4 linked regions of the Lepisosteus oculatus genome follow. The protein of the gene in region 4 interacts with the protein of the main gene of each other region in a biochemical or structural test. Links are inferred from orthologs where the notes say so. Each region holds a gene or a part of one and is shown on either strand. Other genes may lie near its edges. The genes, in order: pbk, runx1, rgcc and cdk1.

Region 1 (7,184 bases), on a different chromosome or scaffold from region 4:
GAGTTGCTCTTTACCTTGTCTTGAATGAACAACTGATAGTTTAAACTTGTCATTGGAAGGAGATGACACATTTTAACACCTTGTTTCCAAACATGTTTAAATTGTATTTCTTCCTTTAGTTAACATCCAGTTCATTTTTATCTGTGTGCTTTTGTTTAGCCAGTAATTAAACAAGATCTGCAGATAAATGTTAAACAGTATGCAACATATACATGGCTTAAAAAACACAACTGCAGTGTTGAAGGTCTTAATGTTTTGTAATCATGTGGAGATCACTCAAAAAAGTATCAAATTCAGTTGAAATTGACATTTTACTTATAGACTAATAACAGAAAACCCTAATAATAATAAACTAACAACAGTTCTCTTGTTGTTTAGCACTAAAATAAACATCTGCTATACCTGTTGATACCTTAATACAATTTTATTTCTAACAAGGTCCCTCTGACCTAGTCCCTCTGCAAGGGGAACATAATCTGAAATCCTATCTAGCAGAGCTTCACATTAATAAATTGAAGTTTCAACACCATCTGTAAATGGGAACTACAGTACCTATTCATTTCACCTCATTGCACACATCTACAAACCTTTTCATAAGATATACATTCACCCCAGTTCCACATCCAAGTTTTTTCATGAAAGGAGATGCAGGGATTGTTATATTTCTAGCCCTAGGGGATCCATCTGTTCCAAAAAGAAAACCAAACAACAACAACAACAACAACAACAACAACAACAACAACAACAACAACAACAACAAAAAAAGTCATTCTGCCTTTCTTCCTCCTGTACTTTATGTAACAAATATCTACCTTACAGCATTATTTTCTTTTTGAAGTAATAAGGGCAATTAATTAGTAATAAGGGTGATGAAATTCACTAGAGAATTCACTAGAGAAGTCTCAGGTCACAGAACCTAAGTTCTTCACATCTGGGTAATAGTTACATATCCTGAGAAGAAACAAAGCACAGAGAACAGTGATTAAGTAATGCCAAAATGTCTGCATTTAAAAGATACCTAAAAATATCCCCTTTTTAGTCTTAATGATTTAATGATTACACTGTTTGGGTCAATTTCAGCTTGTCAATTACATTTCCTTTATTTTTTAAATTATAGAATGAAATAGATGCACTGAAATGTATCACAACTCTACTAAACTGAACTTTTTTTTCTGTTGTTCCTGTTTGCCATCAGCTAATCCAAAGACCTTTTGTATACAAATATATTTACCAGTTGCTACAATTTCCATTAGCAGAGTTGGGTCTTTGTTATATATGTGATTGGAGGGACTAATTTACTTTTGTGCATGCTTATCACTTCATTGCTCTTTTGTGTGTTTGTGTATTGATCTAGGTTACAGCTGAGTTAGGTCTAGTCTTGTAAAAGAACTAATGGTAGCCCTGTCTCTAATTGTTTTTTTTTTATATGTACTGTAAGCAAATAAACGTAACAAGCAGCAAAATACATGGGGATGGCATTTTTACTAGTATATTCTTTCCAGTAGCTTGGTAGGCACCTAGTATGCTGCCAGTAAAGACATTTGATCCAAAAAAAACTAAACAAAACAAGGTCGTGCTGTTGATGTAAACCCCTAAAGGATTCAGAAAAACAATAGCATCTGTTGGACGTCTCTTCATTACGTAAAATGTAATACACATTTAAAACCACTGATGCAGTTGCTCCTGGAATTTGTCAAAATATTGAATCATACCTACCAGGCATAAACTTTTTTTTGCCAGGGGTCACAAATGTGTTTGCCGCCTCCATGCCGTTTGGAATTACAGTGCCGCTGGGGATAAAACAAGAAAATATTTGTACTTTTTGGAAAAATTACACTATAATTACACATTATACTGTCACAATCTAACCGCCAAATAGAAAGTTTCGATTTCGGGGCTGGCCTTACTTGTATTTAACAGGAGGGTAATCTTTGTACTGAATTTTGATTCAGTCAAAAAAAACTTGTTGTTCACAATAACATTCTCCAATGGACTGGAAAACAGAAAGATTACGGAAATTTATTATACACATTCAGTTTCGTCACATTCGCAGAAAACACAGTGAAAGATCAATGCAGTTACTGCACAGAGCCGATTTTATAGCCGAGTCTTACATCGTTCGGGCTTGTTATTGTTAGAATTGTTAATTGAAATCTGTTGAAAGTAAGTTTATTTTTTGTCTCGATTCAGAAAAGTACAAGTGAATAAAGTGATCCATACAGTTTCGTTTATAAAAACGCAAGCTAATAAAGAACTTCAATCACATTGGATACGATAGCAAAAATAACTGTTTTCTTCACAACAGAAATATTTGTCATTACTTTATATTATTACAGGTTTGAATGCTATTATGTTGCTCCTTTCACGTATTTATATAAAAACACAAGTCAATCCCACTTACCAAGATCTTCCTTTGTCTACAAAATATTCTGGCGCGCCTACTTTCAAATCTTTAGTTTGTATCACATGGGCACCAAACGGCGGCTGAACAAGGACAAACACAGCGTGGCTTGATGTGAAAATGAAATTGTTTCACTTTTCACTCGACGGTTTGCTTTTTTCAATTTCGGTTTGTTGTGTGTCTTCTTCCTGCAGTCTATTCCAAAAATAAGAGAATGATTCTCTGGCAGTTGGAGCAGTGCGAAGGAAGTCATTTCAGGTTTCCAGTCCTAAAACAGAGTGAGGTACGAACTGCTAATGACACTCCTGCAATCCACTAATGTGCTAATAAACATGAAAAATCTGAGTCAAAAAGAATGACATCTATAAAGTAAGACACGCAAAAGACAAACTGAGGATGATACTGCAGCAGTACGTAAGAAACTTCAGATTTGACCCCGGAGAGTCCATTGTATGATAAAAATCCAAGATAGACAATGATTGATTTTTCAAACAGAAAAAATATATATTTCCCTTGGAAAAAATAAAAAAGGTTGCTCTTAAACGTTTCAAATTTAGTGTAAAAGTCCAAGTTTAGAGCGGAATTAACGTGAGAGGCACAGATTAGCAAAAAAAGTTCCATGCTAGAAAAATAAAAACATATTTTTGCGCTTTTGAGGCTTATCCAGATGCTCAATGCTGTTTTACGACTTTTGATAATGTACCTAAATCAAATTTCCTCAAAATATCTTTTGTCCAAAACTTCTTTACGTAATCTTTATCTTGCGTAACCATTGTGAAGCAATAAAAAAATGCAAAATGTTCACAGGCAGTGTACAACGAGAAAAAAAAGAAGTGTTTTTATTGTGCAAAGAAGTTTAGAGTGATTAAAGAATAGCAACAAATTTAGACCGGATTTTCCAAAAGTAGACGGTGCAGGAAACACTCAACACTAAAAAACAATATGTAATAAAGTCAGGTTCAGGGCGCTTTTTACAGGAGTTAAAAGAGGTCTTTTGTCTAAAATGTCTATATAGATTTATAAAAGCTTGTTCTTCCTCACATCTAAGTAATAATAGTCATTTTCACCAAAAGAGGGCAGCACTCGTCTAGGTATCAAAATATTTTAACATGATTTTCTACCATTTCTGAACACTTGCGCAGTAATTCTTAACTGGTGGGCAAAAGTAGTTACTGTTTTATGAGTACAACAGTAATTGTCATTGCATGTAACTACCTTCAACTCGACTACAAGAATAAAAACACAGGATTAATTGCACTCAACCAATATTCTTTTTCCTCAATTACCATTGCTAAAGCAAATTACAAACTCCGGGTTTCAAAGAATATTACAGTGTATCATTGTCTTGAAGTCAGAAGCCACAAGTCAGGTACCTTATACGTCGTAGTAAGAAAATGTTTTGTATTGCAGAAGATAGCATTTGCCCAGCGCAAGCTGAAAAAGAGAGGCCAATGCTAGGGTTTCTAGCATGAAATGGATTAGACTGGCTAATAGGCGTGTGGGACTCAAGCTCTGACCTGCCGGTATTGGTTTCTAGAGGAGTGGGATACTACCTGGCAAGGCAGCAATGTAGCTTCTTATCACAGTCAAAAGAGAAGCAGTTTGGACAAAAGAAGTTCAGTCACAAGTACAACCTCGTGTCCTAAGAACTGCAGACAGACCAGCTGCTACTGTCAGAGATGCCAGATTCTAGAGGATATAAGAAAACAGGATCAGTCAGGAGAAGAGTAGCGAAGAGAAGAGTGAGAGGTAAAGAAACACCAAGAGTGTGGAAAATTTTAAAAGTGGCAGAGAGAAGATTTGAGTTTAGTGTTGAAAAAATGTTTGTGAAAAGAAAGAGCACTGGTTAAGGCAGAGTACGTCTAAGCCTAGTGATGAAACAGTATAAGAGAAAGATATCTGGGTGTCAGAGAATCAGAATAAATACCCCATTGCCTAGAGTAAAAGAGTTTGTGAGAAGATAGTGAAAGAGAGTTTGATGTGTGATGAAAAAAGAACAGGAAAGAGTCCTCTCCGTTTTTCCTAGAAGGGATCAGTAAAAGCGACTGAGGATGCTGGTGAAGGCCCAAACAAAATAGTTGAGAAAAGGCAGGCCACTTTGCATACCAAAAGATAAGGTAACATGCTGTGTAGTTTATAGTGTGGATGAGAAATGTAAACAATGTATTTTTCATAAATTCTCATTATTTTTTAAGTAGGCCATGAACATTGTGACACATACAGGTCAGTTTCAAGAGGTATGTATATCTGTATATCTGAGATAAGATCACTTTATTGGCCATACAATTTCTTGTATTAGGAATTTGTATTTTTGCATACCCCAACTTGGTCTCCATGAGACACACAGACAGGGAGAGAAGCTTGGGGTCAGAGCACAGGGTCAGCCATTTATACAGCACCCCTGGAGCAGTTGGGGTTAAGGGCCTTGCTCAGGGGCACAACAGAGTAAGATTTATCTGCCAGCCGTGGGATACAAACCGGCACCCTTCCAGCCACGGGTGCAGACCCTTAGCTACAGAGCCACCGCACCGCCATGAATCCTGGCTAGAGATCATCTGTCATATATCTTTTGACAGAACCAGAGATATCTACCAATGAATCATAATCTGTCACACAAGGTGACCATACACATGATGACTACGACCACCTGTGGTGAACTGATTTAAAAGTTCTAGCACACACAGTTGGGATGATCTCTGAAATCCTGACAGCTTGTCAACCAACTATTGATGTGACTGTGCTGTCTGAACCACACCTGAAAGTAACTGCAGGAATGAAACACTGTACATAACCAGATTTGTCTCCTAGACTTCATATGCAATAAGAGACATTTTGTGACAAGCTTCCAATTGTAATTTCAGCTGGAAGGTCAAGAAACGAGGAGGATGATTAGAGGATACCTATAGGCCAAAGACAACTTTCAAAGAGCTACAGTCCTTTATGCTCAAGACTGTGGCTCAAAGTGAACAAAGTGTGTATGTGACAACAATATCCCAACATCTCCACAATTTTGGCCTAAATGTCAGGTTGGCAAGAAGGAAGCCATCACTCAGAAAAACTCACCTTGAATCCCATTTAACTTACTTAGCCATGTGGTAAAAAAGTTTTGGGTTTTATTAAATAAAATAGGACTTTTATTTTTATTTGTAAATCAAAGTGGGACATTTTGCACTAACCCAACACAACATCCAACCCATGAGCACCATCCCTACTGTGAAGCATGGTGGTAGGAGCATCATGTTATGGGGGCATTTCTTATCGGTAGGGTCTGTGAAACTTGTCAGGAAAAATGGGAAAACAAATTGAGCAAACTACAGAAAAGTCCTTGAGGAAAACCTGTTGCCTCCGGCAAAATAGCTGAAACTGGGATAGATGTTCATCTGTCAACATGACTTAAAGCACACAGCCAACCCTGCACTGGCATGATTTGAAGACTGCTGTCCATCAGTGCAAGAAAAACTTGATAGAGCTTGAACAGCTTTGTAAAGAAGAATTTCAGTTTTTTATTTCCATCCATTCATACAGGGTTTAGTGTTGGGATCATTGCATTTTATTATTTGTCTTCAGTTTCATTGTTATGCAGATGATGCTCAGATTTATCGTAAAACATCTTCCCACTCTGATATTTTGCCTCCGTCACTTATTCTTGTCCACATGGCATCAAACTGTGGTTGACATCAAATTCCCTGAAGCTATATAGTGAAATAGTGAAAGAGAGAAATTTCACTGGTGGGCTGATGTAAAAAAAACCTGAGATCTTCACAGTAATGGTGGGTGGCTTCTCCATTCACTTGTCAACTGTTGTCAGGAATAATAATAATAATAATAATAATAATAATAATAATAATAATAATAATAATAATAATAATAATAATAGTCAACTTACAGTAAAACAATATTGATTAAATTATTTCCTACAGTACCTAAAAAGAAAATTATTGAATGAAAAGAGCAGAACAGTGGAATAGACCTATACAGATGTATAGTCTGTGCTATTGCTGCCTTTTGTCAGGATCTGATCACAGTGATTCCCTGGCCAGTTTGCTCAACTAGTGTATACAGTATAACTATATTGCTCAACAAGATAGCAGCTATACACCTAAAGTACCAGCTTTGACATTAATATCAACCTTATCTGGAAGCCCCAGAGTCTCTGGCATCTAGTGGATTCTCTCTCCAGGAGGATAACATGACAACTCAGGCATTTATTCAGACAGTTTTGATCAATATGTCTGCACAGTACCGGCTGGTTATCTCTAACAAGCAGCTCACATTATGCTGATTTCTGGAAATCCCCCTCTGCACTTTTCAGACAATCCCCAACAAACTCCCTATGGATCAACATTTCTTATTTCATTTTCCCAAACAGGCACAAGTTAGTCACTAACAATTATCTGAGTACATTAGTAAAACACCACAGTCAAAAACATAACGGTGCAATTCAGAAACCATACTTTTTTAACTTATGTTTGTTTAACTCATGACTTGTTCTGATATTTAATGAAACTCAGATTTTGTGATCTGATTTTGTTGTGCTATTTGCATTTTTTCAGGTTGTGAAAATGAGCATTTAGGAAGGGCATACATAACACTCTTACTGTGAAATATGCGTGCGTATTTAAAAAGTATGTTGCACATACTGTATAGTACAGCACAAAGAGTAAGTGCCTTCACTTTCTATATGTTAGGCTGACAACACAAACACAGGGAGAGGGTAAAGAAGAAGATGAAACTCACATACTGTATATCAATCACAGGGTCCTTATAATGTGGTCATTATGTA
Region 2 (7,983 bases), on a different chromosome or scaffold from region 4:
GTGAGCAGAACTCTATGTTCTCTGTGGCAGGATATTGACACACCAGCACACAAAATGACACCATCCACACTCCATCTGGACACTCCAAAAACAGAGCAAATGTATTCGAAGCAGTGACAGAAATAACCAAACAACAAATGCTAAGAATCTTTACAAGCCTTTTCCCAACTCCAGCATGCAGTTTATTCCACGTTTTCCATATTAAACGTAGCTGAGATTCACAAACTGCATAATATTTTTTACCTTCATTTTCCACACTTGCAGAGTGGGCACCTTTAATTATGCATTTGACACCAAAAAACGATGTATAAATTAAGCTCAGGAGCAAAAATGGTGTGCTGATGCTTTGTGTTAAAGCACACATTGTGTCTTCTGTAAGATCTCTGTAAGTCAATTTTGGTTTTCCTCAACAGCCTCTGAACAGCTTGATTAATTTCCTGTGCAAAACACAGTTAAAAGTGTGAAATAAACAAGCTAGAATAAAAAAAAAGTGTAAACACTGAAGTGTTTGAACATGTACTTGTCTTTTAACTTTTTCTATAGAGAAATACAAAGTCTGCTACAATTCAGATGAAAGGTGACTCTGAAGCAATGAACAACAGTGTTAGCATAGGTAGGGTGGGTAGAAGGTACTCTAGGTACCGTAGGTATGAGTATTTGGTATAATACACAAATGCAGAACTTGGAGAAGCCCTGTGCTCCCAAACTGCAAAATATTCAAAAATGCTGACTGTGCAAGGCTGTTAGCTTTGTTTTGTTTTTGTTTTTTAAATAGAGAGACCAAGCAATTCAGAGGTGTACGAGACAACTTGAATAGTTTCCTTGATGCGCATTTTCAGATTTTTGTATTAAAACGTGTCTTCCGCATGTTTTACTGTGCATTTCTTTAATAAGAATAAGAATTATTATTAGTTCAGGTGGGTAGCTGCATCGGCATGCGTAGGCTGCAAAGGAACAAGTAATAGGTTTATTCCATGCTGAAAAAAAGAAGAAAGAAAACACAACGTTTCGGCCGTGGGGCCATTTTCAGGTGTGAGAATTATTATTATTATTTGTGCATTTGTTACAGTGGATGTTTACATTTGTACTTCATTTTTCCACTGGGTATGATAGTGGGGTTTTAACTAACTGTAAACATAGACTATGAACTGGAGATAAACAGCTCCACTCCACTGCAAATTAAGTTAATTATTGTAAGGTATGTTGTAACAAATGACTTGGACATAATTTTACTTACCCTTTCTCTCAGGGTAAAAGAAAATCCTATATTCAGACCTTGAAAACAGAGGTCTTTTGGGGTGTGAGGGACACCAGCAATTGCGATCCAGAAGCAAAGATACTTTTCATCGGGACTTCCCTGGTCCCTCATTCTGTACTAGAACTAGAAATAAATTGACCATCAGTCTTCAAATAAGTGGAAACGTGACTTTTTTTCTAATCCTGAGAACGGGTAAGACTCTCTTCTAGGAAAATATAATCACATAGCTGAATTTAACTCTGGTTTGTTTTTCTTACCCCTCTTCCTTCTCTCTAACAGTGTTGCATGCCTATTTATTACATTTTCAAACTAGCAAACCACAGTCATATCAATCTCACACAGCTGGCACATTGTGGTAATTTTTCTATCGGTCTACAACTTGGGAATTTAATTTTGCACACGTGTTTTTGTTTCTTCAGGAGAAATTCCATTTCAATTGTTCTAAATATGAATAATTCCAAATTTCAGTCCAGTGTCAATCTAGATTATTCTCGATTCTCATGAAAAGACATTTGTATAAAGATGCATCTGAGGCAGCAGCACAGCCCCAACAATTTACAAAACTGCTTCCAGGGAGGCAGATAGAGCACACCTTAGCCAGGAAATGAGAGAGGAAGATACTCCCTTGAAATGCAGATGAACATGAATTTTTTTTTTGCAGAAACATGCATACCTTGCAATTCTGTGGAATAGAGCTGTGTAGACCTAATTTTCTTAGAAACAGTCTCTAATGCTCCTCAATGTTCCTTTGTGGTCCCCCGTAAGAATCCCTGTTCTACTGTTTGCAGCACACAGCAGAAGCTCATATGCTTTGAAAGCAAAATAATGGTTGATTCTTCAAGTTTACTACACAATGTGCATTAGTACCAGGGATCAGACCAAGGTGCCACAACACATACTCTGTAATTCATTCTTCTAGTACTATGATTGAACTTCCACAACCCTGTTCCCGTGAAAACTGTAGTAAAGACTAAAACGAAAAACAAATGAGTCTAATGACTTCGTGTTCAGGACTGTCATATCAACATAAAAAAACAAGAGTATTTAATTATTTTATTAGACAATTCCTCAATCAGACCTGCAATGAGCTGGACCCAGAGACAAAACCAGACACTGAAATTTCCTAGGACTGCTTTAGTGATTTCCCCTGAAGCTTTGCTGACAAAGTTTGGTGGAAGGTCACCAGTCTGGCAGGCTGAGCCCTGCCCCAGACAGGGCAGTCAGACTTTGCCAATGCAGCTCTCAGCCTGCTCTAGTTTGGATGGAGGTTAGAAAGAGCTCCTACCCACATACCCACAAAGCTGTGGTTTCCACAAGAGTCAATCAGCCACAGGATTTCAGAAGACTCCAGCCACAGGACCCAGCACATATAAATAAATAAATCTGCAGCCCTGCTTTCCAATGCACTCCCCTACACAGACCCTTTGCCCAGACTGAACCCCCTTTGCCAACACCCCAGTCTGCATGAATGCTGTCTGAGGTCTGCACGCCCCCAACACTCACCCCTCACGAAGCATGACTGGTATGAAGGAAATGACTCAAAGATGCTGTTGGAGGCCATGGCTTCCTTGCAACAAAGTGACAGCCTGCACGCTTGTGCTCGCAAAAAGAGAACCGCTGTCGCTTTTCTGAAGCCAGTGAGTGCCTTTGTTTTTAAATCCACTCTGAGCTCTCCTTGGTCTGCAAAGGGAAATAAAAAAATAATGTTCAAGAATTAAACGAAACACATTTTCTGCACTCATCGTCTGACCAACATCCACTCAACCACAACCAAATTCTGTTCACCTCTATGCATCCTCCCCCCACACTCCTCACCATCCCAGTCTTACAACACACTGGACACCTACATTTAACTTGCCGCTTCTCCAGAAAAGAGACCCCCATAGGGCTTTGGGATGGCATTCCCCTTGCACTATAGACAGGGCGGTGGAAGGTGGTGGACAGGCTGCGGTTTACTGATGCTTACCCTTGCGCAAAAGACAACAGCACTTGAGCAAAAAAGTCGTTGTGGTTTCAGCAATCCGGGTGATTCGCACTGAGATCAACGAGCACACCACTCCCCCCTCCTCCCCCTCTCTCTTTCTTTTTCTTTCTCTCTCTCTTGCACTGCCGTGACTGCTCCCAGCCTGGGTTTGTGGTTGTGTGGTGGCCCACAGACAGCTTCACATAACCCCAATTACAAATTTAACTGTTCCTTTCCGAAAACCTCAGCCAATTGGGTAGGGCCTGTCACGTGATATGGTGATGTACAGGATTTCTTTTTTTTAATCTGGTATCGTGGCTTTGCCTTTCCCACTCCACCTGCCCTCCCCTTTAGTTCAGTGAGGAAATAACAGTGGCTTGAGTTTGTACTGAGAGACAGAACAAAAAATGACTCACTCGCACAGTGACTAGCTATGCAAATCGCACTCCAGGAGGAGATACAATTAGCCCTGTGTGTCTCTCAGTGATCCTGGTGAAGAGTCCAGTGAAAATTTACATGTCAACTTTTCATATCTAGGTATAATCTGATAGTGTTCTGAGAGGGAAAGTAGACTCCGAAGTCATCAGTTTTCCAAAGCTCTGTGCTGTGTACCAGCCACCTGTGAAGGGAGTTTATGAGGATACCAACATCCCTATCACTCTGCTATTACCCTATCCTCTTCTCCACTTCAGGTGTCCTTCAGAGGCATCCAGACTGCTATAGAGTTGCACTAAACAATAATTTAAATTTTTGGATTCAGTTTCCTCTGAGGAGTTCTGGGTGACCAACTGGGTGAGACTTTTCCCTTGCATTGATTTCTCCATGTTAGTTTCAGGTAATTTTGCATTTTATTTGGGCTGATAAATAAACTCTGAAGACATGGGAATGTGAAGACCATATTTTGTCTCGTTTACGAGGTGGATTCTTTTTCCACTCCCTGCAGAGTGTTGATCAATCAGTAGAAGAGTTCTGCTGCCAGTTCTCAATCTGAAGTGAGACTTGGCTCCATCAAAGTTCAGTTCCCTCGCAAATGTCCTTACCCTGGTATTGGAACAATTTCCTACAATTCTAGCTTATAAAGCCATCAACATAGTACTTAATATTAATAATGGCATTTCCTCTTTGCTGCAAGAGTACCACTCTTCTTCCTTCCTACTGTCCAAGTCAACTGGCCAGTACATTTATTTATTTCAAGATAAATGCCCCAAATTCCAAGTAATACAGTTTTATGATACTGATAAACCAGGCATGAAGACCAAACTGTACTCAACTGTCTTGGTTAAGCAAGTGCGTGAACAGGGTATGTAGGTGACCACCTTGAGGGTCTCCCACACTCAAAGTGTGCTCTGACTTTTTCTGCCCTCCGCGCTGGGAAGACATTCTTCCTTTTTATACTTTCTCTTCAGTTTAGCAGCCATAGCTGCAATAAAACTCTTAAACATATGACTTACTTTAATAGGAGGGTTTAAAAGCTGAAATGGAAACTTTGGACAGAAGCATTTTGTTTAGCATGATATAAGAGAGTGAGCTGATGGAGATGTTTTCCCTTTCTTTCGAGGTCTGTGGCCTAATATACTGAGACTGTGGTAGACTGAGAGTTACCTGTGGATGTTCACTGACTGATGAATAAGTAAGGCCAGTGAGCCAGCTGGAAAGGAGAGTGATAAATCATGTGAACCATGCATTTTACTGTCCATAGAAGGGATTGTTTACTGACAGTGAAGTATTTTATAAGGCCAGTAATGATGTCCTGTTTCCCTGTGCTTATTCTTCCAGCCAGCAATGGAACGTTTGCCTTGTCCTTCTGGCTTTTACGCTTTTCAGTTAGAAGATGGTTTTAGCTGTGCTTTCGACTTATTTAATTTCTCATGGAGACAGTTGCCATAATGGCGTGGAAATATAGGAGGTCCCCCTTACTCTCCCTTCCTCTCCTCACCTGGCAAGTGTGCTGTTCATGGCGGCTCCAATCTGAGGTGGCAGGCCCGCCCAGGCCATTGTTTGGGTAATTGTGACTGTGTGTGTGAGCAGCAGCGCCTGCAGACCCAGTCGTGTGTCTGTGAACTGTAAGGGAGGAGGCAGGAGGGGGTTGTTAATAAGGATGATCAGACAAGAGAGGGGATGTGTGTGTAGGTGTTGACGGCTGGGGGGACCTGCAGTATAATTAACCATGCGGTGCACAGTGATCTTTCATATGTGTATAGCAGTGTGTGGAGGGGTGGAGGGGGTATAATTGCAGGGCTGCTCACCTGCTGTACAAGAATAATAGTGGTGACGAACTGCTCAGGTGTGTAGTGTCAATCGTGCCTGCTAATGCCATGATTACCAAGGCCTGCCTGCGGCCTGTCTGTGAAAAATCAGCTCGTTTACTCCATGCAGGAATGGCGCGTTGTCTCTACACCTGCATGCCCCCCTTCCTTCCAACCTCCCTAATCACCGGGTACGTTAATTGGCAGAGGGGCACAAGGTAAGAGGACAGCTGTATGACCCAGCTCCTTCAAACACACAGGGTTTGAGCTTCCAAGATCTCTCGCCTGCAGGGCTGTGATACTCACACCCACCTGCCAGGCTGGAGTATAGCTGGCAGCTGCAGACTTGGGTCGCACCAGTCATATTAAGGCCACATGATCTATTGGAGATGCCTGCTGCAGAGAGGCTTTAGGGATTAACAGGCTAATACACCTTATAACAACAGAGCACTCAGCACTCCCACAACAGGTTAGAGATGCTATAGATTGATCCAATGTATGCAATTCAAGGATCAGACGAAAGAAAAGGCAAAAAACATTTTTACTAGGCTGGAAACTAGGCTCCATTTTAATGCTTAGATAATCTAATGAAACATGTTCACTCTTTCATGACGACTTATACCAGGGGTACCAGCAACACTTTGCAGGTCCTTAATGGGTCCAGATAAGGTGTACGTTGATAAATATCATTGTTATTGATTGACATCCTCACAATAGTATCTGATAAGGTATTCAAAATAGGGTACTTGAAAGATAAAGATCAAAACTTTGAATTCACAAATGGTAGCAAATATCTGTTGAATAATGACATGTAAAAACACACTGTTCAAGTGTATTCAGAACTTCCAAACATGTAAAACCTAAATGTTCCAGATGTAATTCTTCCATATTTTGATCATATGATAGTTTTACAAAATCTCATGAAGTATATTAATTAATTCTTTCAAATTCACCTTGATTCACCTTCTTAAGTCATGGGATACTTAAGAAGGCTGTACACAGATGTAATCCAGTCAATACCATTTGTTATCTAGTGGAAAGTCGAAGAACTGAAAGATAATTTTGATCCACACAACTCAGCAATAGTAATGGCTATAAGAAAATTGCAAGATCGTAGACACAATATCTACCGTACCATTAATCATCAATATGCTCAAGGTGTGGAATTGATTCTTGCCAGAAAGAGGACACAAGAAGGCCCTATCCAATTATGAGGTTGAAAGGTGATTTGTAAAGCTAACTCAAAGCAAAGGACTAGGAATCTTCACCAACAAAAGAGGAGTTGGCCCCAAGAAAATGGTGGCAGGAGGTCCTTTTGTTGTCAAAGAATTAATGAAATATGGATTCCCAGAGTGTGTAAATAAATTATAATATATGTCACTATATGAAGCATCAACAAACATTTCTAACTGTTTCAAAAAATTCAAAAATACATTAAGAAAATGATTGAGTCTTTTTATAGCAGGTGCATTGACATTTTATTGAATAGACATGATATAGATAATGTTACCATTTGTCTATGAGAACAGGGCTGATAAACAGGAGCCAACTGTGATTCACAGGATATTAGTGTATGGAAGCAATACAAGCTGTACATCTGTGATGTATGTTTTACATGAGGTTGTAGATGTTGTCTTAAAATATTCTTTCTGATCCTATTCTATTTCACGTGGCCTGCAACAATATTCTTTACTTACCACACAGTTTCCTTGTTCCTTGATTTTAGTTGATGCTTAGCACTCAATTTCTGAAGATCTACAAATAATCAAATATCTATTTCTAAAAATCCCTCAAGGTGTCTTGTGAAGAAAGAGAATGGCACATACAAATCATAACTCTCCCCTGAGCCTGCAGCAGTGTGCACAGATACTAGATAAAAACTTTTATCTTTAACAGCTTTTAAACAATGCAGAGAATGAGGCCTAAGTGTTCTGTTCTCAGTTGGAATTTGTGGAACCTTGTTATCAAACGATTGCTAGATTTTCACCTTTGCTTCCAAATTTCAGAATAAAAAGGCATGGACACTAAGTACAGTATATTATATTCAATTATGATAAGTTTTTGTTTCACGAATTGACCTCTCACTTTCCTATGAGAAAGGCATAGTCTTCATGAATACAGTGATAATGTATTTTTGAAAATGCAACAGTTTGTACTTTTGACCTTTAAAGACTAAAAAGAGTCTGCTGTCAGCTGCAATTTCCGGATGGCCAGCGAGACAGACTGGAGTCCCAGTGGAGGAGGGCTGTGAGAGCAGCACTGATCTCTCGACAGGATGACAGGGTGTGAGCATTGGGGTAGGACAGCTGTCTGGGGCTTTCAACAGCTGAACACTTGAGCCTGCTCAAAAACTTTTTTTTTTGGTCAAAGACAGTTTTATTGGTTCAATTCAAATTAAGTTAGTTACATCACCCCTTCTCCAAGAGTGCCAAGGGTGGAGTGTTTAATCCAGGAGATGTAATTTCCTTCCGCTAACCTATACCCAGGTTTTTATACCTTCTTGCCTTGGAATTGAA
Region 3 (7,895 bases), on a different chromosome or scaffold from region 4:
GATTTTATTAGAAAGTCATCTGCATGTGTAACTTTGTGTGTGCAGAAAATATTTTTAAACCATCACTAGATGTCCTGCGATGCTTTTGTGGTTTTTGTTCCACAGGGCAAGCAAACACTGTTAACCTCTATTATCCTTAAGTAAAGCCATATGAATTTGCACAGCTTTCATGTTAAAAGAAATGTCTAAACAGTATTTAAATATGATTGTGTTTTAAAGGGATCAAAGGTTTGTCTACCAGGGAGGAATTCATGGGTGGTTTCTAAAGCCTTTGAAGTATTGTCAACAGTTGCACGAGTACTTGACAATGTATGAATGCAAAATTTCCTTTTTTGTTGTACGAAGACTGTTACTTAAACAGAACTGTTATTAGAAGCCTTTTGTGCAATCCTCTTGCACAGGTGTCATCTGCGTGCCAGTATCTCAAGCAGGCAATTATGTTGGAGCACAGCAGAGGGGTGTGTGTGTAGGGGTAGCGTTGACAAGTGACAAGGTGGCTTTGGAGTACCTGTTGTGCAACACCTTGTACAACACGGCACGTCTTATGATCAAATTCACAGCGGTTCTGGCACAGTTGGTGCCATCACATGGGTGATAGTAGCCAAAGTGAGGCTGGGGCCGGGTAGGTCTGAGTCAGCCTGCGAATGTTAGCTCTCCTGGGGAACACCTGCTTCAGTGGCTTTGCCAAACTGCTTCAGCCCTGCACTGTTACCTGGGTATCTGCATGAGCTGCATCAGTCCTGCATGCACTGCTAGCTACTTTCAGGAGTGCAGGAGTTCTTTTAGGCAGCAGCTGTCTCACCCTGCAATTCACAACTGACTACCCACTGAAGCTCAGCAGGTGTGAGCCTGGTCAGTACCTGGATGGGAGACCTCCTGGAAAAAACTAAGGTTGCTGCTGGAAGAGGTGTTAGTGGGGCCACTAGGGGGTGCTCACCCCGCAGCCTGTGTGGGTCCTAATGCCCCAGTGTAGTGATGGGGACATTATACTGTAAAAAGGTGCCATCCTTCGGATGATAGAGAAACTGTCCTGGCCTGGGCTTTATCAATCATGGCTGCCTAATAGTCCCCATGTATGACCTGGCTTCATAACTCTGTTCTCCTCCCCACTGAGAGCTGGTGTTTGGTGAGTGTTCTGGCACACTATGGCTGCTGTCGCATCCCCAGGAGGGGTCCCCATTACCTGTAAAACGCTTTGAGTGGAGTGTCCAGAAAAACACTATACAAGTGTAAGGGCTTATTATTACTATTGATAATATTACAGGTAGAGGAGCTGCTCCTTTTATTTCATTCGTATGGGCTGGACTACCCATAACTCGATAGGGGTGTGTATTTATATACAGTACCTGATATATAAATGTATACATTAAAGTGGATGCAAATTATTGTGAAAGATTTGGAGCGCCACAACAATTTCTAGAACCTTCACAGGTCAGACGATCCTTTGTTGCAGCCTTGCAGTGTCAAGCGCAGACTGTTATTGGCTCGCTTCAGTGCCGTTATGCATCACCTTAAACCAAAACCAAGGGCATTGCCGTCTTTCCTCTTTTGTCATTTCGGCGACATCGGGCCGTTTCCAGAGTTCAAACCGGTGAAAGGAACTCGCATCAGGAGAAAGAGCTGTACTTGACAGATTTCCTTCTGTGCCCTTGTAGCTGTTGTCCAGCCTCTGGTTTGCACCACGCAGTCCCCATCATTCCAGCCAGGAGGGAAGAGCTGTTGCTGCTGGCTCTGTCTCCTCATGTCCTGCTTTCTGACACCTCCCGGTCAGCACAAGACAGGTCGGAGAACATCCTTAGTTTACAACCTGCCACGGACACGGTGATGGTGATGATTTCTTAAGCTGGAAGAGGAACTCCTACTTGTGCAGTGTTGGCAGTGAGCCTGTTGGGTCTTCCTGTCAACTTAAAAATTGCAAAAAATATTCTATTTCTTATTTCTGTTCTACAGTTCCATTACAATGGACATGTGAAGCCAGATACAGCTCGTTGCATCAGTACGTGGTACGGTATTATTGGATACTCATGGACTGATCTAGACGGTCTCTAAGACATCACTAAGCTGTTTCTTGGCATCAATGTAACTATTAACTTTCATATTCGCTGGGGTGAAAGTGTATATATGTACTTGTTTAAAAGCAGAGTGCTGTGATACCTCAATAAAAAGTCGAAAGAATTTTCAATTCAGAAGTGGATGTTTTCACACTAGCTGTATACGTACGTTTAATAACTGTGTTAAAAGCCTTTAACCCAGAATTGTTTGTTCCAATTGTTCCAACACCCGTTGGAATTTTTCACATAGGCATGTTTAATGATAATAAACTGATAGAAAATGTGAGTTTCATACACATTTTTTTTATATTCCAGTCCAGAGAATTTTTTCCCACTTTTTTTCCATGCAATTGCAGTAAAAATGGGACATTACTTTATTTTGAATGAGATATACCTAAGAACAAATTCAGCAGTGTACTGTAGACTGTTTAAAATGATAAAACTGAAAAACCCAGAACAACATATGAGCTATGTATGCAAAATATTCTAACTTTGTGTTAACATAAGAATTATAAGAATAGCTCATCATTTATAAAACCAGACATTCTGAAAAAGAATCATCTGTATAGGCAATCTTAGAGGAAAACCTGCTTCTGTCTGCTAAAGATGTGGGACTGGGATGAGAGTTCGGCTCTCAGTGGGACAAAGGCCTATAACCAAAGCTACACTGAAGTGGCCTAATATGAAGAAAGCAAAAATCCTTAAGTGGAACAGGAAAATTTCTGCCCATCAGCGATTCCCAGCCAGCCAGCCTGCCAGAGCTTGAGCAAGTTTGCAAAGAAAAACGGGGGATTTATCCGTAAGAATTTGGCAGCTTTAATTACTGCCAAAGGTGCTTCCACCAGGTATTGACGCAGGGTGTGAGTACTTCTGCAATCGGCATACTTTAGTTTTGATTACTTTTGCGTTTTTTTTCCCTGGAATTTAACTTCTTTCATCCGTGAAGATGTTCAGTTTGCACATTCAAGTTTCATTCAATTTGAAAAAAAAATCTCAACTTTTTTTGTTTCTTTAATCCATGGGACAGATCTGGAAGACTGAATTCTGTTGCAAAGTACGGTTCGCCCTGGAATTTCCCTATATGCAAGATCCATTATACTTGATTTTTTTTCAACTCAGGATCAGTTTGAATGGGCAGGAAATGAACTCTCCAGGTGTCAAATTTAGTGTTCATCAAAAGATATAGATGCTATTATAGCATTCTGGATTTAGTGTGGAAGAATTGTTTAAAAAAAATGCGTAATAGGACTATTCAGTTGTGGTTCTCTTAACAGCGTTCAATTAAGAATGTGGTGTATTATTTGGTGCAAATGGGTCCAGGAAAATAAGATTTCTTACTGAAATAACTGATCGCTGTGTTGCGTTCCTTTGGATTAGGTTGGAAAGGGTGAGGCGGGCAGAAGACTGTGTTGGAAAGAGAGTCACAGAGGAGAGCGTGTGAACTGAATCAGCATAGTTCCTCCATCCCAAGTGTTACCTTTAGCACTTTATAAAAAAAAACCATGTGTGGCAAGTCTAACATAGTCATTAATAAAGTCAACAGAAAAGTGCAGCTGTAAACACATTTCTCGTCCCTTCCATCTGCTCAGCTGTTAGAAAAGACACCGAAGGTGTGAATATTCCCTGAGGTGTGACGGATTCTTCCATCTTTGAAGAAACACTTCGACCATGCCATGATGGCTTGTGTGCTGGGAAACAGTGAAAGAACTGCCAGGGGTTTCAGAAGCTGGTCATCTGTGGTTCTATATCAAGTCTGAGCCATTAAGCCATTAATCTAATCACGAATCTAGTGAAAGAAGTTATTGGTCCATATGGCGCTGTTTTGGGATGGTACATTGTTTAGCAGGGACTGCAATTCTTTACGGAACCGCCAGGTGGTTCCCTACACTGCACAAATATGTAGACTCACAAATTTGGTTACTTACGGAACATATATTTACCACAAAAGGGCATGCCGTGAAATCACTTATGTAATAATTTATTTCCATGTCGTTAGTAATCATAAACGGAAGCCTTTCAGCTGCTCATCCATGAAAGTATTTCGGAATGCAACTTTAATGCGTCGTAAAATGCGTTTAATAAATTGTAACTGTTAACAAAATATGAACTTGCTAGATGTTTTATGTATGATTGCAAATAAATGTGTTTTCCTTGTCGCAGCTTTTCTTTACCAGTGGGAAGGCGAAGTCGGAAAACAAAAACACTGAGAAAAAGATCTCCTTCATTCGCAGGAGGAGGGTAATTCGTGAATCAATAGATATGTAATTAACTCCCTCCAGGGAACTGTCCACAGACCTAAATACTACGTTTTATAGAACTCCTTTAAAACTAATATCATTTTCAGTCATGCTGTTTTCATTTAATCTATAATTATTTCGTATATGCATTTTAGTTTTAAGTGGCACGGCATTATGTAAATAATTTCTGCCCTTCATTATGTTTAAAATGAACCTGAAACTTGCTGAACATTGGATTTTGGAGCTTAGGCAACTACATCTGCGTTAACGGGAAGAAAAGGCAAACTCTTAACTAATTCGGTCGTGCCAGCGTGCCTACTAACGTGTGCCAGTAACTGTGTTTATAAACAAACATCGCTTCTGGGAATTAAGCCAACGTGCAACCTCTGAACGTTAGATGGTACTGGATAATGTTCCTTCAGTACCTTCGGTACCAGTTCCTCTGAAGGCAGTGTACGGCGGCAGTCCCGACCTCCACCTCCTGAGAGCCCAGTCACCGCCCCCCACCGGGACTGGAGAGCATTTAAAGGAGTGTGGCGCACAATCAGTTGTGGGATTTAGCAGGTCTACAGCAGTGGGCATCAGAAGAACTGATCAGAAGTAGTTATCCAGGATAACTCATTTCCTGCATTGGATATATCCAAAGGATAACACATTCGGATAATGAAATCTCCCAAAATGAAATCGCAGAGCAAATGTAAGTTTTATGAATTGACGTTAATGTACGCGTTTTCAGTCGACAATGTAGACAAGTTTTGGATGGAAACCTAAAGTGTTTAGTGCGTTGTTCTTGAAGGGGATATCGTTTATTTTATTACGGGATTCATAACTGCAAGTCTTTTTGTTTGGGTGGCTCGGTTCTGGAGAGCTTGTAAAATTATTTAAATCTCACCTTTTGATTTTAGCTTAAACTAAAAATGCTGTGAAGCTTTTGGATGGTTTATGGTGTGTGAAGGTAGGAATTAAATGATGAAAAGTTCAAGCTGATTTTCAGGCAAACTTGGACCCTATTACGTACTTTAATGTAGATCGTTAGATGTTTTTGAAAGCATATGAAGCTTTAACTGCCTGGGAAGTCACAAATCATGTCACTATATTTGCAGTGCTTCGTCTGCTCTTGTGAAAAACGATGATCAATAACCACATGCGACTATTCTTTTTCCTAGCGCATTTTCTTGAAGATGATGATGATCTTAATGCAGTTCTCTGTGAATTTGACGCTGTTATTGAAGATTTTTCGTCTCCTATGGGCAAGAGGCACTTTAGATACGATGAGCATTTAAAAACCATGAAGAGGAGGAGTAGCGCCAGCGTCAGCGATAGTGGCATCAGTGATTCAGAAAGTAAGTTTGGATCTTGTTTCATATTTTGTGTAAAAGATGAGTGGGTTTGTACTGTAATGCCTAATGATGCCATTTTACATAACGGCATTCAAATAATCCAACTGTTATTATAACTACACTGTGACATTTGAAGTCATCTGTCAAAAGGACTAAGTTGTTAGTTGCATTTAGCAAACCACTAGATATCGATGATTACCGCACTATAAAATAACTCAGGTGGGTAGCTGCGTCAGCATGCGTAGGCTGCAAAGGAACAAGTAATAGGTTTATTCCATGCTGAAAAAAAGAAGAAAGAGAACACAACGTTTCGGCCGTGGAGCCTTCTTCAGGTGTGAGCTGTGTGTTCTCTTTCTTCTTTTTTTCAGCATGGAATAAACCTATTACTTGTTCCTATAAAATAACTGTGGTTAATATCAAATTTCACATGCGTAAACAGTTTCGTAATCGGGAAGAACAGTGACGTCTGATACACGTGCCGATGCACGATATCGGTGGAAAGACGAAATAATTACACAAGAAAAATAATTACAAGAAACCTAAAGTATACCTCCCTCAACACAAAGTTTTACAAGCACCCATAAAGCATTATTTTAATATACGCGTTTAAAGAAGGTCGATACTCTTCTGCGTGAACACCTGCTGACACACTATCTGCGCGTCTATTTGTTCTGGGATAGCATGCGATAAACCTCCAAGTGAAAGCACTCAAGTCACTAATACAGTACGTCTTGAGTATTAGTGTATATTAAATCTATTAAATTCCGTTCTTGACAAAATGCTAAGAGTACATCATGAACCGCTTTGCATTGTAATATAGCAGACCACATATAAGATACATGTTACGCTTTGTTACAAACATGTACACACCCATTTGTGCTTCAGTTCAAACACTTATCCAACCACACCGCCACCCATAGGAATAGATTAATTTTAGACGAACTTTTTTTTCTTAGCGTAGCTGTAAATATCTCATTCATTCTGTTGCTCGTAACGTCCATACTGTCGTATATTGTGGAATACAAGAGTAGCTTTATCCTTTTGCAGCAGAAGACCATTGTCTACAAAAAATGAGGAAATTTTTGTTGCAGAGTTATGCAGGCAAATTAGTGCAATTAATAACTCTTCAAAGTTTACATGCAGACCAAGTAGAATGATAACACTCAGCACAATTGTGCCCCTATTGACAGAGTCTGTTTAATTTGACGTAGAACGTGTTCGCGTTATTCCATTGAATGTGTCAGTAATAAGCAATTTAATAAAAAAAAACTTTGATTCCCCTTCATTTGCAGGATTAAGAGCCTATTCGAAATGTTTTGCTTAGAAGGTATAAGTGCTATATTGTTTACAACTGTATAGGACCATGTGATTATTTAAATGTAGTTACAAATTCTTGTCCTCGCTTTGAGATGCGGGTGTGCAGTTGAAAATGTACCTAGAAATTCTGCTGCTGAACAGTAGCAAAGATAGCATGTAAATCATCATCTTTAGAGAAGGCTGGCAAAACCAACCCCTTTGGGAAGACAGGGCAGGGGATTTGTTTCAGTTTTGTTTTGAATGTTGTCTTTCCAAAGGCTTCAACAGATAATCTTTTAGCGACGATGGGCAGTCCATCTCGCTATCAAAACTGAGCTCACGCTGCCATGTATCTGAGTGAGTTCACATGACAGAGCACTCATTGAAACTGGGAAGACGCTGAGCGGTCACTTCCAGTGTTAGCCACTGTCAGGTGCACAGACAGCCCTTATGCAGAGCCTTCTAACTGCTGGATTAACAGAAGGGATCCTTCGCAGTTTGAGGTGATAGCAGAAATACTTGCAGTAAAATCAGGATTTGTGCAGATACATCCTGAGGCAATGAACTATTATTCATATTATGCAGCCAGGAGTAACAATATGAGAAGAAATGAATGGACTGAGCCGACAGAGTACAATATCCCCAACTGTAAACAGCATTTCTGTCACACTTGTGCACAAGCTTGTACAAAGAGAGGGATTTTGAAGAAGCTTTCAGGAATTTTCTTTAGAAATGCTATTGGCATAAATGGACTCATTCGTTGCTCTCCGTGGTGTTATGGGAAAACACATTAAACTAGTCCCAGAAGCTAAGATCTAATTACAAGCTCTTTTCTGTTCCCTGCATACATTTCTCTACACATCTACACAGTGCACACAGATGACAAGGAGCTACAAGCAGGCATCCTGTGAAATTAAAAGAAGGAGCTCAGAAATGAGCTGGATAAGGGTCCTATCCAGATGTCAGCCTTT
Region 4 (8,037 bases):
TGTGATAAGGCTGGTTTCCGTGAATCAAATCAAATAAATGCAGTCTTGCAAGCACCTCCATGACGTACATAACTTACTGTAATAAGACTTTGGTACAGAGAGAAAGGAAGGTTAAACCTTCACTCTCCCTTACCTCATGAGTGTAAACTCGCACCGGAATCCCAAAGGCTCTGGCAAGCCCAAAATCAGCCAGCTTTATTACTCCTTTATTGTCTATTAACAAGTTCTGAGGTTTCAGGTCTCTGTGAAGGACTCTTCTACAGTGGCAAAAGAGTATTCCTTGCAAAATCTGATACAGGTAGCTCTGGTGGAAACAAAAGAACAATAACTTATAAAAACATTGGAAAATGTTAACTTTAAAGAACAAATGAAAACATACTGCATACAATTAGAAAAACAAGGATCCATACAAAGTAGTGCCTTCCTCTAACATTGAAATCAAGCACAAGAAATCACAAAGAGCTGTGATTACACTATTACTGCCTAGTTTTTTTTTTAATTAAGACTACCCTTCCAAGCTGCCATGAATTGTGCCATACCTTAACCAGCATCGCGTCCATGTACTGACCAGAAGGTATAGAGTCCAGGTATTTCTTTAAGTCCATTGAAAGAAACTCAAAGATGAGGTAAAGCCTTGACTCTTGCATGAGGACATCCAGAAGGCTGGGGAAACGAAAATCTAGTGAATCCTCTCGGAGTAGGACAGAAAAGCTCTCAATATTTCATTACTACTGATTTAATAACATATTGCATAACACTATACAGGATGGACAGAAAGGATTAGAAAAACAAGAATCCTGGTTGTACACATTCCGATACTTATCACTGACACTTAAGGGTCTGATTAAGTAACAACTGAAAAAACAAAGCAGGAGGGTGTGTATGTGGGGCACAATCAATTTGAAGAACTCCACTTACAGTACATGCGTACAATAAGGGTGTTCTATTCCAATGTCTTGTGTTAATGTTAATTAAACAGTGTGCAGCAGTTGCTCAGGGTACTGGAGTCTTAACTGGTAGGCTTTGGAGTCAAATCCAAAATGAGACGCTGTGGTTGGAGACTTAAGCAAGTTATTTCACCCAATTGCTTCAGTAAAATGCCCAGCTCTATAAACGGGTCCAAATGCAAACTGACGTCTCAGCCAGATTATAGCTTAGCTAAAGCTTTTATCCAGGAGGCCTAAAATTTGGAATATTGGATGTTTTACCACAGTAATCTGAGCAGAGTACTTTGAACAGAGTACAGAGAACCATACCACCTGGTTTGAACTGTTTTACAACTGCATGCGTTAACTTACCAAACCACGTTGGGATGCTGGAGCTCTTTGAGCAGGGAGATCTCCCTGACAGCTGTGCTGGGAACTCCCTCTTCCTCACTCTCCAGTCTGATCTTTTTCATGGCCACCACCTGCCCAGTGGTCTTGTGCCGACCCTTGTAAACCACCCCATAGGTACCTGCACAAATTAACAAAACACACAACTTCAGTGTCTTGGGAAGTGCCAGTGAGCCTTCAGGCCCAAACATCCCTCTTGAAGAAAGAAGCATGGTGAACAAGACCATTAAAACCATAGCATTATACAAAACAAAACTGTTTTTCCTACAGTTTGCAAACCAAAAGCACAGTTTTGGTTGAGCTTGCACCTGTTTTTCCAGGGACAGAATGTCTGCATACACTTACCCTCTCCAATTTTCTCAATCTTCACATAATCATCCATTTTGCCTGAAAGAAAATATACACAGAACACCGTTTTACTCTGGACATAAGTCGCTCACCGGTTTGTCTGTTCTATAACATTGCTATGCTGTGTGAAGAAGTGTCGCTTTCTATCGTTTGATAAACGCAGTTTCATTGTACTTTCCAAAACATAGGACATTTTACCGAAACTGGTTTCACCAGCTGCTACTGTTACCGAAAATAACACTAGGCGATTTGGTAACCGTATTATCTCAAAACAATGGCGTTGAAAACCTCTTATACAAAGGATTTTGATGACAAAAACGCCAGACTGTAAATACAAAGACTCTGACGTCTGTGATTCGTCACACTGGAAACTATTTCACAGCCGCTAAACCGAAGTGTTTGCTTGTGTAGGTGGCGCTCTCCAGCAGTGATTATATGAAAAAGGGCTTACCGGTCGTGCCCTGACAACTTACACTACTTGGCTAAATGTCATTTTTGAGATTGGAAGTTGGAAACGTCTGTATTTCAAGCAAATAATAGCATGACAAGAGTAAAGGTACTATTTTTAAATGTAAACGTGTCTTGAAGCGTCATGCAGACCTAGCCTGTCCGTGTGCATGACCATGTTCCCTTCCACAACGAGACGAACCACGTTCCTGCCTTTTCGCTGCCGATAAGAGGCGATAATAATTCCTTTAATAAGACTATTCAACAAGCCAAACCTACGATGCGAAACTGTCGAACACTAGGTGACAGCTCGTTATCTTATATACAAAAAATAATTACCGTTAATAATTACCGTGTGCAACGCCTGTTAGCACGGTCCTGCATCTTTGTTTTTATCTAGACAGAATTAATAGCAAATGATTCTCAATTCTGTCTAGTTTGCCTTTGTCACGTATCGATTATGGCCTGTAAAAAGCAGACCCAGAACCTGCTCATGACATTTTTAACGAGCCGGTTACCCGTGTACTGTACATTATCACCAAATACAGCCTGGGCCTAGTCCTACCATCGGCGCTTCGGCTAGACAGTTACAGAACCGCTCCTCTCAAGAAATATAATCCGGTGCCCTTCCATGCTCTCCAAAGATGCATGCATATATAAAAACTGTTTCACACTATTTTAAATTGTTCACACTTCGGGATCACCCGAAATCGTATCGGGTCGTTTTTTTAATGCTAACCCATTTCTTAAATTCCCCTTCCTCACACACTTCTGCATTAAGATTATATAAAGGGAAAAACAAATAAACAGTACAATAAAAGTTGGTAAAGAACGCACTCACTCCCAAGGCTGTAACTCCTGCGCCGCTCTCACTGGACTCAGCAGTCCGGGGGAAAACAGCAGCTTTGGGCTTTCAAACTAGCCGCGCCGCTGCCTTTCAAATCCAAGCAATCGGGCAGCTCGATTACTTTCAAAAGAGCCAATCGGGAGGCGGATGTCTTAGGGGCGGGAGAACGACTTTAAAGCGCGGCGGAAGAGGATGAGCAAAAAAAAAAGCAGCGGGCGGGCCCGGTTGGAAACCACACAGTGTTTCCAGGATTTTTGGTTTCTTATATCGTTTGCGGGTGGTAGATGTTTTTTTGTGCACGGTACTTTCCAGGTAAACCTTCACTTCTCCATGTATTTTTTTAATGATACATTTCACTATACACTATAATCATTTTTTATTGCTTTTTTATTTGCATGTAGTGGTTGGGGAAATGATTAAAAAAGGATACGAGTATGTTTAGACGGATATTTTCTTAGGCTTCATATACAGTATAACTTTTAGTATCATTAAAGGGCTTACTTAAATTAACATGGAAATGCTATCAATAATGTTTGAATAAATGTTATAGAGCCGCGACAACACTTTAAAGGACAGAAAACCACAGTTAATGACATTTTGCACACAACCTTCTTGTGAATGTGTTGACAAACTGTACTTTTTCCTCTAAATTATTAATAGTATTTGCATTTCTCTCTTGTGCAGGGTTCATTGCATTCTTGGCAACGAAATTCCTCTGTTAGCGATGGAAATTGGAGACGGAACATTTGTTTTCCAATTTGAACCGGAATCTTATCATTTCACCTTGTTGGCTCTAAGTAAAAGGTGATTACATTAGAAATATAAATTTATTTCGGTTTTTAACTTGGTTTCTTTTTTGTGTGCAAATTAACCCGTAACGACTTTTCAAAGTAAAGCTCAGCAAGTTGCGTTGAAGCCCATTCCTTCTTCGTATAACCATTTAATCTCACAATGCAGCCCTGTTCTGGGAACAGAACCGTGATTTATCAAAAGGCAACTCGGGCCCTACCGGTTATTTCATGTAAACAGTAGTTTTCAGATTCAAAACCATATTGACACCCTCTTCTGGCCAAAGTGTCAGGTTACAGACAGAGGTATATTTAAATTGTATTAATTAAAATTACCTGCAGACTAAAATCATGCTTAGTTGGTGTATATAGACGTTAAGTGTGCTAATAGTTGAAAACAATGCAATCTGACATTGTTTTTAATTGAGGTGTTGAAAGTGCGGGCATTTATATGCAAGATTGTGACAGTGGTATTGGGAAGGGCATATTGTATCAAATGTTAAATACAATTATTTCCGCATGGCTTTTATAAATGTATACTTATTCATTAAACACTTAATACAATAACACTTAGTATCAGAAAAAAATCATTCAATATAATCATGGTGTCATTTTATGCTTCTGAACGCTGCAGTAGTATTATCGCTGTGTTTTCTATTATCTAAAGAGCAACAGTCGGCGAGGTCTTCAGCCTATGAGTGCAGTAACCTTGGTGCCGCACCCTAACCGAGTCTGCGGTGAAGTTAGTACAGCGGGCGGTTTGTAGCCTTAATGGCACTGCCACTGTCGCCATCTCAATAGGCTCTGATCAGACCGCCTTAGTCAAGTTGCACAGCAAGTGGACTTTACCTGTGTGACTCGGCTGCGCAGCGAGCAAAACTTTCCTGTGTGGGACTCCGAGACAGCGCGCCGCAGGGGGGGTCGTGCGGGGCTTTGGAACAGTCGAAAGCTCCGTCTCATCAACGAGTTAAAACAACTTTTTAAAGGTTTATGGGTTTTGCTGTGCAGGAAGCAATATTGCTGCACCGCCACCACCCCCTTAAAAAAACGAGATTTCAAATTTGTCCGGTCTGGATAAAGCTTCAGCAACATGGCCTCCACGCCTATTGGAGGTGGTGAAAGCGATACTGCACAGGTGAGGATACATTTTGTTCAGAAGTGTAAAGCAACCGAGCCTTCGCGATTTAGTCTTGTTTTGCGGCACATGGATTGATATCAATTCTCGCCCGCAGTTTCCCACTTGTAAACACATGTCATTAAATAAGTAAGTGTACAGGTTGGTCGAAGTGTCCACACTTTATTGAAGTGCGAAGTCTTTAAGAAGAACGCCTTGTGATTATTAAACAGCATGGTATTTAATTGCATTGACTGCACGGCTCAATTAGCTGCAGGTAATACATTTCGTTCTTCGGGGACACGCTTACAAATTCAGTATACCTGACAGTTACAGTACTTCTGGGTGTTGCCGTTGATTGGGGTTCGGGTAAAGCAGCAGGATTAGATTGGTGTCGACGCTGGTAACGTGAACGTGGAATGTTTTTAGACCACCTGTGTTTGGACTGAACTCTGAAGCTGAATATAGTTTTATTGCAAGTAAATGATTAATCCTTTAGGTGGAAAGTGCAAAGGCTTTCATTTTAATGAGATTGAATTGCGCCAAATGTCATCTTTGGCAGTCATCTTTTTTTTTTGCATAAACAAAAACAAAGTAGGAAAGTACAGTCCTGGGTGTCTTGAAACAATAGCTTTTAAAGCTTTGGAATCGTACTAAACACGGAAACTGACATGTTGTTGCATTCTTGACTTTTAACCAGAAAAAAAGGTTTATTAAACTGAAGTATGGGCTCTTGTTTTAATTCAGCATGGTGCTGGCCTGAACTGTTGTCATGATGAAATACCATTTTTCAGTAATCATTAGTTTTCCATTATGACAATAATGAGATTGTTTTTATTGTGAGGTAGTGCCTCAAGTTTTTTCTGTGATGGTAATGGACATGTTAATGCTTACTATTGAAGGTAATTAAAAATTCTTGTGTGCATTTTCCCTCATAGTTGATGGCAGTTGCCCAATAATTTCAGAACTTTTTTATCCACATCATGGTAGTGGTAGTGTATCCAATTAAGACGGACATTTTCCCTTATAAAGTGCTGAATCCACTTGCAAAATGCCGGGAAGCAGTGCAAGTATAGTGCACCCATAAAAATGCATTAGTTTTTTCAAGGAATATCAAGGCTCAGACTGTACATACATAAGACAAGAAAAAATCCCTGATCCAGGCTGTTCTAGGTATATTGTTAGAAGGCATTAAGATGTCATTGAGACTTAGCAACTTCATTCAAAGACAAACTCGTTTAAAATGTTAATTGATGCTTTAAGATCTTCTAAACTCTTTTGTACTTGTCTTTTTATGTTACAGTCCACATTGTCATGACAGGAGCTCTTACGTATTTATTGATGGATTACTACAGCCATTTTAATTTCTAACTCCTGCACAGGGGAAAGCCACTGTGGCTAACAAGGCAGTAAAACTATTCAATAGGCAGGAAGGATCATGATGGGCTTGCTTCATTTTCATAATAAGTTGATAATTCCTGTCTTCACATTTTGTTTTACAGTAGTAAAATCATTCCTTGGACTTCAGACCTAATTGATTAGTCTACAAATTAAGTTATGTGAATTTTAGTTTGACTTCTCCTGCTTAGACCTCTTTGAAATCTGTCTTCTGTTACATATAGCCATAATTGTGGAATTGAAACTGCTGTATTCAGAGGATGTTATATCGGTTATCTGTTATTACACATACCTATAACAAAACTGTCAGGATGCATTTTCATTCCAGCTATTGTCAACTTTTGTGTCGGTATAAGAGTAATGGCTTTACAAGAGTCCTCTACCATTCTGCTCTTTCTGTAGAAGGTGTAATTAGAATTTTACTTAGGCATAAAGTTCAACAGCTTTGGGTTGGGATAATGCTGACAAAATATAGGCTGACAGACTATACAAAATGTACATTTACATTTTGTAATTTTCCTACAGGTTTCCAGAATTTGTCATTTTGGTGTCATTCATAAAAAGGAAAGGGAATTTGCACCTTTGCTATATTATTTGTAGGCCATATAGTAAATGTATTTGCATAAAACCTTTCATCTTACAACCTGTATAAACCATCCCATCTGTGTAAATAGTGGGTAGTTTAATACTAACTCTGATCGGTAAATATTGACACATGTAAAGCAGTTTTCAGTGTACATTCAATTGCTATACACAGTATAAATTGTTCTTACTGTGACTCTTACTGTTATTGTAATGATTAAAAACCAGGATATGTTGGACTTACAAAAAACAAATAATATGAAAAGAAAATTGCAGATAGACCAAGTAGTGGTCACAAAAACACTTAATTTCAAGATCTCATTTCTTTCAGATGATGGATGCTGTGAATTTACTGGAGCTGTTTGCTAGGAGTACTTATTCATGTAGGCTTAGACACACACCCTCTGTCTCCCAAAATAAAGAAGGCAGTGGCATTCAGATAGCATTAGTCTCCTTTTTACTGTTCCTTTATCAGATGCCTTGTTGGAACCTACAATAACATTTTTTTTTTGTCTTTTAGATGTACATTGAAAGACTGATTTAAGGGGTGGGAGTAAGATGTGAGTTTGCTTTTATGTCAGCTAAAATCCAAAACTAAGCTCCCTGGAGATTTGGCTCATTCGGTTTGTTTATATATTTAATTTACTTTCCAGGTTTTTCTCCAAGGGCAGTTGACTTTAAGGATAAGGATGTCCTCAGGTCATATTTTCTATATGGTGGCCTGAGGTTACTTAATATAAATGTCAATAGTGAATTATCTAAAATTATGTGAAATAGTGGTTATGAAACAAACCCACAGTGTTAAACTTACACTTGTTTCTTTAAAGCAAAATGCCTGAAAGGTTTTAAAAGGTGCTGGATTATGCAAACTTATTTTTCAATGGTATGTGTAAGTCAAGGTTGAAAAAATAATTCATGAAATAGCCTGTATTATTAACTATTAGGTACTTAAAAGGAGAAATAATCCGTAAACTACATTAAACGTGGAACAAGTAATAGTTTAATTCCATGCTGAAAAGAGAAGAAAGAAAACACAATGTTTCAGCCATGGAGCTTTAATAAACCTATTACTTGTTCCTTTGCAGCCTACGCATGTTGACGCAGCTCCCCACCTGAACTACATTGAACTTGGACCACAGAAGTGATGTACATTAAAGTGATTTTCCTTCTTGCATTTAA

The links.
Region 1: the proteins of cdk1 (region 4) and pbk form a complex in vitro, tested with the Homo sapiens proteins (2 studies listed by BioGRID and IntAct, with this or other methods). The link is inferred for Lepisosteus oculatus from reciprocal best matches to the Homo sapiens genes CDK1 and PBK.
Region 2: of the proteins of cdk1 (region 4) and runx1, one has a biochemical effect on the other in vitro, tested with the Homo sapiens proteins (2 studies listed by BioGRID). The link is inferred for Lepisosteus oculatus from reciprocal best matches to the Homo sapiens genes CDK1 and RUNX1.
Region 3: of the proteins of cdk1 (region 4) and rgcc, one has a biochemical effect on the other in vitro, tested with the Homo sapiens proteins (2 studies listed by BioGRID and IntAct). The link is inferred for Lepisosteus oculatus from reciprocal best matches to the Homo sapiens genes CDK1 and RGCC.

The regions. Positions count from the first base shown.
Region 1 is NC_090697.1:56,986,528-56,993,711, forward strand, and holds the start of pbk (lymphokine-activated killer T-cell-originated protein kinase homolog), read right to left. Parts: upstream 3,097-7,184; 5' UTR 2,402-3,096; intron 1,994-2,401; 5' UTR 1,908-1,993; intron 1,791-1,907; 5' UTR 1,769-1,790; coding exon 1,717-1,768; intron 685-1,716; coding exon 588-684; intron 1-587. UniProt on the Homo sapiens protein: Phosphorylates MAP kinase p38. Seems to be active only in mitosis. May also play a role in the activation of lymphoid cells.
Region 2 is NC_090708.1:28,895,684-28,903,666, reverse strand, and holds the start of runx1 (runt-related transcription factor 1), read right to left. Parts: upstream 3,190-7,983; 5' UTR 3,161-3,189; coding exon 3,106-3,160; intron 2,939-3,105; coding exon 2,762-2,938; intron 1-2,761.
Region 3 is NC_090710.1:16,934,425-16,942,319, reverse strand, and holds the start of rgcc (regulator of cell cycle RGCC), read left to right. Parts: upstream 1-4,736; 5' UTR 4,737-4,951; coding exon 4,952-4,985; intron 4,986-5,454; coding exon 5,455-5,631; intron 5,632-7,895. UniProt on the Homo sapiens protein: Modulates the activity of cell cycle-specific kinases. Enhances CDK1 activity. May contribute to the regulation of the cell cycle. May inhibit growth of glioma cells by promoting arrest of mitotic progression at the G2/M transition.
Region 4 is NC_090699.1:23,136,506-23,144,542, reverse strand, and holds the start of cdk1 (cyclin-dependent kinase 1), read right to left. Parts: upstream 3,074-8,037; 5' UTR 2,971-3,073; exon of another isoform or gene 2,967-2,970; intron 1,722-2,966; 5' UTR 1,717-1,721; coding exon 1,680-1,716; intron 1,456-1,679; coding exon 1,299-1,455; intron 664-1,298; coding exon 540-663; intron 305-539; coding exon 134-304; intron 1-133. UniProt on the Homo sapiens protein: Plays a key role in the control of the eukaryotic cell cycle by modulating the centrosome cycle as well as mitotic onset; promotes G2-M transition via association with multiple interphase cyclins.